2 linked regions of the Drosophila melanogaster genome follow. The protein of the gene in region 1 interacts with the protein of each later gene in a pairwise test. Each region holds a gene or a part of one and is shown on either strand. Other genes may lie near its edges. The genes, in order: Sdhaf3 and ND-ACP.

Region 1 (3,351 bases):
AAATTTGATTAATTTCCAGTTTAAGTATAAACCCATTGAAGATATGGAAATACAATATATAATAGTATAGAAATTCATTCTGATCATATAGTAGCTTATGGATTTCAAAGTGAAAATCATATTGAACTTATCTGTTATTATAAATATTATTTCCATTCAAATATTGGATGAACTACTCTTCGATAGACGACACAATCTTAAGTTCTTCCTTCTGTTAACCACATAAATAAAATTAATTTAAAGTTTCGTGTCACGATTACGGCTTATCGATATCTGGCGCCAGTGTCACTAGTATTTGTACCATCACTAACCTTGGTCATAAAAATAAAAGCTAGCGTTCCATTTATTTTCCATCGCCCGAGCGCTGTTCCCTATCCATTAACACGTCTCAATCCTGGAGTGCACAACATCCGGTGAGAGGACTACCAAAAAGAGATAGTCCGCCGCTGGTTGTAGGTGAATAAACAGTGAAGAAGCGAAGAGTCCAAAGGATACAATCGCAACCCACTTGCCAAGCTGCACACTTTGAGTCCAACGTTGGAGGAGGAGCCGCCATGAATGCCCTGCGGCAGTTCTACCTGGAGATCCCGGTGGTCACACGAGCCTACACCACGGTCTGCGTGCTGACCACCTTGGCGGTGGTAAGTGTATCCCGTAGTGCGTTCTAAATCGCGGATGACGTGTACGTGTATTATCTTCGATTATATTTTTTGCCAACTTTTAAGCACCTGGACCTGGTGTCGCCGCTGCAGCTCTACTTCAATCCCACGCTGATTGTGCGCAAGTTCCAGATCTGGCGCTTGGCCACCACATTCCTGTACTTTGGCACAATAGGCATCAGTTTCTTTTTCAATATGGTGTTTACATATCGATATTGTCGAATGTTGGAGGACGGATCTTTCCGCGGACGCAGCTCCGACTTTGTCATGATGTTCATCTTTGGCGGCGTGCTAATGACCTTCTTCGGAATCTTCGTCAACCTGTTGTTCCTGGGCCAGGCCTTCACATTAATGCTGGTCTATGTGTGGTCACGACGCAATCCACTGGTGCCAATGAATTTCTTCGGGGTGCTTAACTTCCAGGCGCCGTACCTTCCGTGGGTGCTCCTCTGCTGCTCCATGATTCTGGGAAACACCGTGTGGGTGGATGTCATCGGCATGGGTGTTGGCCACATCTACTACGTGCTGGAGGACGTCTATCCTACACTGTCCAACGGCTACAGACTGATCAAAACCCCCTACTTTTTGTGAGTTTACTTTGAATTGGGATATAACTTTTGCAATAACGACTTGTTGTCCTTAGGAAACGTCTCTTCAATGAGCACATCGAACGCAACTTCCAGGCGGCTGCTGAGGATCGACCTGGCGGATTTCCTTGGGGCGGAGAGGGTCAGCCCCTGCTACCGGAAGAGATTGCGGCTGATGGACAGGATGAGGAGCCAGCGAATCGAGCGGCGCCTGTTGCTGCCGCGCCGCAATAGCAAAACTAGAAAACTTGATTGTTAAAACGTTCTTCTGTTCAAAACGACGACGATGACAACAATGTTGTGTACCCTCCGCCACCTTCTGTTTGGTGCTTGGTGTAATTAGGCGTATAGTAGTGAGAGAAAGGCGTGCAATAGTTAGCCAAAGTTGGTGCAGAGCGTGTGTGTATGTCATTTATTGGTTTGTTTTCTGAAACAGAGCTCATTTTCCATACGAGATGTTCTTTTATTTATAATTTACCCCCAAGGGATGAATCCACGACAGATTGAACCTACACTGCACATGTGATGATTATATATATACAAACCATGCCACAAATAAATCATTATATAAAAAGACCTGCAGTTTTAAAATGCTTGAAATCGCTTGGGGATTGATAAAAAAAAACCATTTGAAAAAAACATTTTCTTTTTACATTATTTGGTTTGCGGAAGTGTGGTTCAATTCGAAGTGCCTAACTTAAATATAATATGAAAATAGCATTGAACTTTTAAAGGTGACAATTCAAATGCGCGCCAAACTTTTAATACGTTGCCACCTGCCAACTCAATTTGACGTTAGCCAACACTGGCTGCGACAAAACAGTTGTTATTCGCTCGTATTTAGTTTTTAGCCGGCTGCTAAATAGTATAGTATTAGTATGTTATATGATATGAACTCAGGATGTCCAGAATTTTGATGAGCCAACTGACCCACCCTCAGAGGGTCCGACTGCTGTACAAAACGATCTTGCGACTGCACAGAGGTAAGATGAAAAATTCCCTATTACTATAAATTGCATGCATTTCAACTAAACTTCTGTACTCCGTAGGACTTCCAGCGGAACTTCGTGCTCTGGGCGATAACTATGTGCGGGACGAGTTCCGGCGACACCTCAAGTGCAATCCCATGGAGGCACAGCTCTTTATGACAGAGTGGGCCGTAAGTTTTACGTAATAAACAAAAAGGCGCCATACTAAGCAAATCTTCCATTGCAGCGATATGCGTCCACAATCACCCAACAACTAGGGATTCGGGGCAAGCCCAAGGGAGAGCTGGGCGAAGAGATTGACCCCAAGACTGTAGAAATGTTGAAAGACGACCAAGTAGTCCAACTATACGAGCTGATGCTGGCGGCCAAGGGAGTAGAAGATGCGCAAGGCAAATAAATCAGTGTATTATTTTATTATGAGTGTTTCTCCAAAATCTTGTACTCGAATTTAATGCCATTCTCCTCCTGCACACCCAGTGGCATGTCGGAATCGGGCGCGACCTCTCGAAAGCTGTCAGGGATCGCGGGGAAAAAGGTGTCGCAATCGAACTTCTGCATTATTTTGGTAATGTACAGCCGGTGACACCTTGGCGAGGCCATGGCCTCCTCGTAGACTCCACTACCGCCCACAATCCAAATGTTCTCCACTTCGTTCTGCTCCTCAAGGATCTTCATGGCCGTCTCGAGATTGGGGCACAATAGTACTCCCTTGGGCAGATCACTTTCCTGAAGTGTGGTGCTCAGCACTATGTTCAGCCGATCGGGAAGAGGCCTCTTGCTTTCCGGCACTCCGAAGTAGGTTTTCCTGCCCATTACCACGGCATTTTGCTTGGTGGGATCACTTGTTCGCTTGGTGGTGCGGCTGAAGTACTTCAGCTCAGATCTGATGGTACAAAAGCTTTAGCTGCGGTTCAATCCTTGTTACCAACTTACTTAATGCGCCATGGTAGATCGCCTCTGATGCCGATTCCGAAATTCTCGCAAACTGCCACGATTAAATTGAATCGAAGCATCCTTAATCCTTACTGAGAAAGCATAAGCTTGAAAATTATCTTCCAAGCTATAAAATTCAAACAGCTGATCAAGGCAATGCTGGAACCGATTTCGATAGCTTCG
Region 2 (4,285 bases), on another chromosome or scaffold:
AGCTGCGCAGCCTGAAGCGTCCGGAGACGGCTATCACCCAGTTCCGGGCATCTCTTAACAACCTCATGGACATTCTGATGTGCAAGGAGCCGAGCTACATTCGCTGCATCAAGCCAAACGACCTGCAGACTGCCAACGTCTTCAACGATGAGTTGGTACTGCACCAGGTCAAGTACCTTGGCCTGATGGAGAATCTGCGTGTGAGGCGAGCTGGTTTCGCCTACCGACGAACGTATGAGCTCTTCCTGGAGCGCTACAAGTCCCTGAGCAAGTCCACCTGGCCCAATTACAAGGGTCCCGGTGGCCCGAAAGCGGGTGTCCAGCAGCTGGTGAAAGATTTGGGCTGGGACGAGGAAAAGTACAGGGTGGGCGAGACGAAACTATTCATCCGCTGGCCGAGAACCTTGTTCGATACGGAGGATGCCTACCAGGAGAAGAAACATGAGATAGCGGCCATCATCCAGGCCCACTGGAAGGGATTGATGCAAAGGAGGAAGTATCTGAAACTGCGTGCTCAGGTGATCATAATGCAGAGCTATTGTCGCCGAAAGTTGGCACAGCAGGCGGCCAAGAAGCGCAGGGAGGCCGCCGATAAGATTCGTGCCTTTATCAAGGGCTTCATCACCCGGAACGATGCCCCGAATGGCTTCAATGAAGAGTTTATTGCCAACGCCAAGCGTATGTGGCTGCTTCGACTGGCGAAGGAGCTGCCCACCAAGGTACTGGATAAGAGCTGGCCCCATGCCCCTGGGCACTGCGAGGAGGCCTCCGGCATCCTTCACCGCCTGCACCGTCTCCACTTGGCCAGGATCTACCGCCTTAAACTGACGCCGCAGCAGAAGAGGCAATTCGAGCTGAAGGTCCTGGCGGAGAAGGTCTTTAAGGGCAAGAAGAACAACTACGCGAGCAGTGTGTCCACTTGGTTCCAGGAGGACCGCATCCCCAAGGAGCACATCCAGCGAGTCAACGACTTCGTGGCCAGCACCTTCGGCAGCGAGCAGCTTAAGTACCAGTCCTTCTGCACCAAGTTCGATCGGCACGGCTACAAGTCCCGCGACCGCTTTATCCTGCTGAGCAACAAGGCTATATATGTCCTCGACGGCAAGACCTACAAGCAGAAGCACCGCCTGCCGCTAGACAAGATCGACTTCACGCTGACGAACCACAACGACGACCTGATGGTCATCCGCATACCGCTCGACCTGAAAAAGGACAAGGGCGACTTGATTCTGATCATTCCGCGCATAATCGAGTTCAGCACGTATATCATTGACACCGTGGGAACTGCCTCCATCGTCTCCATTGTGGACAGAAATTCGTAAGTTGCACATCGGTTATCCCAGTGGTTTTCTCTTGACTAAGTGTTGCATTCGTTTCCAGGTTGGAGCACAACGTAGTCAAGGGCAAGGGCGGCGTCATCGACATCCAAACCGGCGCCGAGCCCGGAGTGGTTCGTGATAAGGGCCATCTAGTTATCGTAAGTAGTGCGAGCTCCAGCTCCTCATGAGGAAACGCCCATTATCGTGCTGACCTCACACACCAAATATTTCTTTTCAGATTGGAACGCAATAAGGAATTTACTATGACTTTCTTCAGAAAAGTGGCTTTAAATCAAACGACCTTGTTTTGTTATATTCGTGTAATTTATAGTGTAACTATGTATTTTTGTTACTGCAGCACCTGAGAGTTGTGTATTCGGATTTTATATGACTAATGTTCCAACTAAATGTATATTGTTTAAAAATACATATAAATATATTACAATTTGTATATGAATTGGGTTCTTATCACTAACTTGTGGTTTTTCAAAGAGGAAACGTGGCAATTTTTCTAGTCTCTTATATCGTTTCTTTCAAAAAGAACCGCCCACTCGATTGGCAAAAGCAGCAGTCGATAACTTTGCTTTGAAACGTCAGTTCGGTGCTCCAGACTTTAAAAATCTCGTTAAAGTCGTGCCCAACTCACAAAAGAAGATTTCAGCTAACGTTACTACTGAAATTCATGTGAATTAATATACCACTAACAATTATTTAACTGTAAATTATAGTTGGGAAAGTTACTTACTCATTATTCAAGTATTAAGTATTTTTAGTATTTATTTGCGTAAGTTGAGAAACAGCTTAGTACATTGCGCATACGGTCACACTGCTACCTTGCTGTCTTTTTCTTGCTCCAGCACTTTTACATAATCTTGAAAACTCAGCGTAAATATCGCCCAAAATACGAGACCTGCACTCGTGCACCGTCTGCAGAGATGCGATACTAACCCGCTGCGTTTCCGTTGCAGGAGAACCGAGATGTCGTTCACACAGATCGCGCGCAGCTGCAGTCGACTGGCGGCCACTTTGGCCCCAAGGAGGGTCGCCTCCGGCATTCTCATCCAATCACAGGCCTCCAGGATGATGCACAGGATCGCCGTGCCATCGATGACCAGCCAGTTGAGCCAAGTAAGCGAACGTCCAAAGCGGTCCCTTCCGTTGCAGGAGCCCCAATCGCAGTTGAGGACCTAACCTCATCGCAAACGGCGGGGTTTCGTGATCTACGAGTTTCAAAACATTCAATTAAGTGCTTGCAATCATGAACGCAACAGAAGATCCTCGCCATGTGGCCGTCGAACCACCCAATTCGATTGCATCACATTATTTTGCATAAAACATGATTGTTTCCCTATCGCACACACACACACATACACCTGCAACACCGGTGCTCGCACTTGTGTGCGGTTGATTGTACTACAGTGAAAATCCTCTAGAAGTGACCTTAAAATGTAGCGGTTTTAAAACATGTGATTTCAGTTTGTTAAATATCTAAATATGTTTCCACGCCAATCCAAGCAATAGTTTTCGCGGTATTTAATCAGTTGATCATACACCATCGAACCACCCTCGTTTAAATTGCGTATATATTTACACTGCTCATTGAAGAATTAGCTAAGTTGTATGCACCATAAGTCGTAGATGAACTACCAATGCAATTATTCATATAGAGACGAAAATTCACTAGACATTAACATTCGCAGAAGTTCGGTGTGCGCAGCTACTCGGCCAAGAGCACCATCGAGGACATCAAGTTCCGCGTGCTAAAGGTTGTCTCCGCCTACGACAAAGTGACCGCCGAAAAGGTAAAGTACCCATTGCATGGCGCCACTAATCCGGTCTTTGTTTCCTTCCTTTTTTTCTCGGGCCGGCCAAAAACCAGGAGTGCCGTGGTCGCTGGCAAACGCAATTGGTGCGCAGATACTCGGCGAAACCGCCGCTCTCGCTGAAGCTGATCAATGAGCGCGTCTTGCTTGTGCTCAAGCTCTACGACAAGATCGATCCCAGCAAGGTAAACGCCACATATTGCCTTTGCCAGTGCAATGGTCGCCTCAGAAATCAGAACTGAACAAAGCTGATGAAACCTTTGAATACCCAATGCTAATGGCTCGCATTTACAGCTCAACGTTGAGTCGCACTTCATCAACGACTTGGGACTGGATTCCTTGGACCACGTGGAGGTCATCATGGCCATGGAGGACGAGTTCGGTTTCGAGATCCCCGACTCTGATGCCGAGAAGCTGCTTAAACCTGCCGACATTATTAAGTACGTCGCCGACAAGGAGGATGTGTACGAGTAAATTGTAATTGTAATGCAAGCCATTGAACGGATTACACTTAAATTTAAATAGAAAACAAGTCAAATACAATTTGATCAACTGAATAAACCAAACGTTAAATTAACTTGTAGTCAGCAATTGTACACGAGGGCTATAATTAACTGCGGAATAGCAGCTAATAAATTAACTATCCAAATAAATAAACGAGTCATTTAGTACTGGCGGTTAAATTTAAATTTCGATAGAAACGTTGGTCTTTCGATTGTTTTAGAAAGCCTTGTGTATTTTAGATACGCAGCGACGGTCACGTTAATCTGCTAGCATTACAAACAGAATATTCGAAATGTCAGACGCTGTGGACAAAATGTTGGCGGGAATGGGTAAATATATCTTTAAACCACCGACACGCGTTCTATTCCGTGCTTCCAATTTCAGCGGCCAATCGGCAGACCATGAACCGCCAGCTGGCTAAGATAGACGAGATAATGGAGCGGTCGAACAACACATTGCTCCACATCGAGTCCAACAGCAAGGCATTCAGTCAGAATGTGGCTTTGTCGGAGACCCAGAAGATGTACAACCTCAGGCCGGAGGCTGAGATGACCCTGTCCAAGATCCTGGAGAACTTCAAGCTGCTCATGTCTAGCAGTGACCAGCGGGAGGAGACATACAGCGCTCTGGAGGGCTGCC

Evidence for each region.
Region 2: the proteins of Sdhaf3 (region 1) and ND-ACP interact in a two-hybrid assay, tested with the Drosophila melanogaster proteins (2 studies listed by BioGRID).

Annotation. Positions count from the first base shown.
Region 1 is NT_033777.3:16,481,158-16,484,508, reverse strand, and holds Sdhaf3 (succinate dehydrogenase assembly factor 3), read left to right. Parts: upstream 1-2,056; 5' UTR 2,057-2,147; coding exon 2,148-2,229; intron 2,230-2,295; coding exon 2,296-2,405; intron 2,406-2,461; coding exon 2,462-2,632; 3' UTR 2,633-2,648; downstream 2,649-3,351. Other genes in the region: Der-2 (Derlin-2), read left to right, coding at 555-641, 726-1,246, 1,303-1,480; Dhfr (dihydrofolate reductase), read right to left, coding at 2,650-3,118, 3,169-3,248. UniProt on the Drosophila melanogaster protein: Plays an essential role in the assembly of succinate dehydrogenase (SDH), an enzyme complex (also referred to as respiratory complex II) that is a component of both the tricarboxylic acid (TCA) cycle and the mitochondrial electron transport chain, and which couples the oxidation of succinate to fumarate with the reduction of ubiquinone (coenzyme Q) to ubiquinol.
Region 2 is NT_037436.4:1,327,844-1,332,128, forward strand, and holds ND-ACP (NADH dehydrogenase (ubiquinone) acyl carrier protein), read left to right. Parts: upstream 1-2,105; 5' UTR 2,106-2,204; intron 2,205-2,287; 5' UTR 2,288-2,297; coding exon 2,298-2,447; intron 2,448-3,019; coding exon 3,020-3,106; coding exon of another isoform or gene 3,107-3,121; intron 3,122-3,198; coding exon 3,199-3,327; intron 3,328-3,436; coding exon 3,437-3,616; 3' UTR 3,617-3,700; downstream 3,701-4,285. Other genes in the region: Myo61F (myosin 61F), read left to right, coding at 1-1,318, 1,381-1,477, 1,558-1,572; msd1 (mitotic spindle density 1), read left to right, coding at 3,939-3,975, 4,031-4,285. UniProt on the Drosophila melanogaster protein: Carrier of the growing fatty acid chain in fatty acid biosynthesis.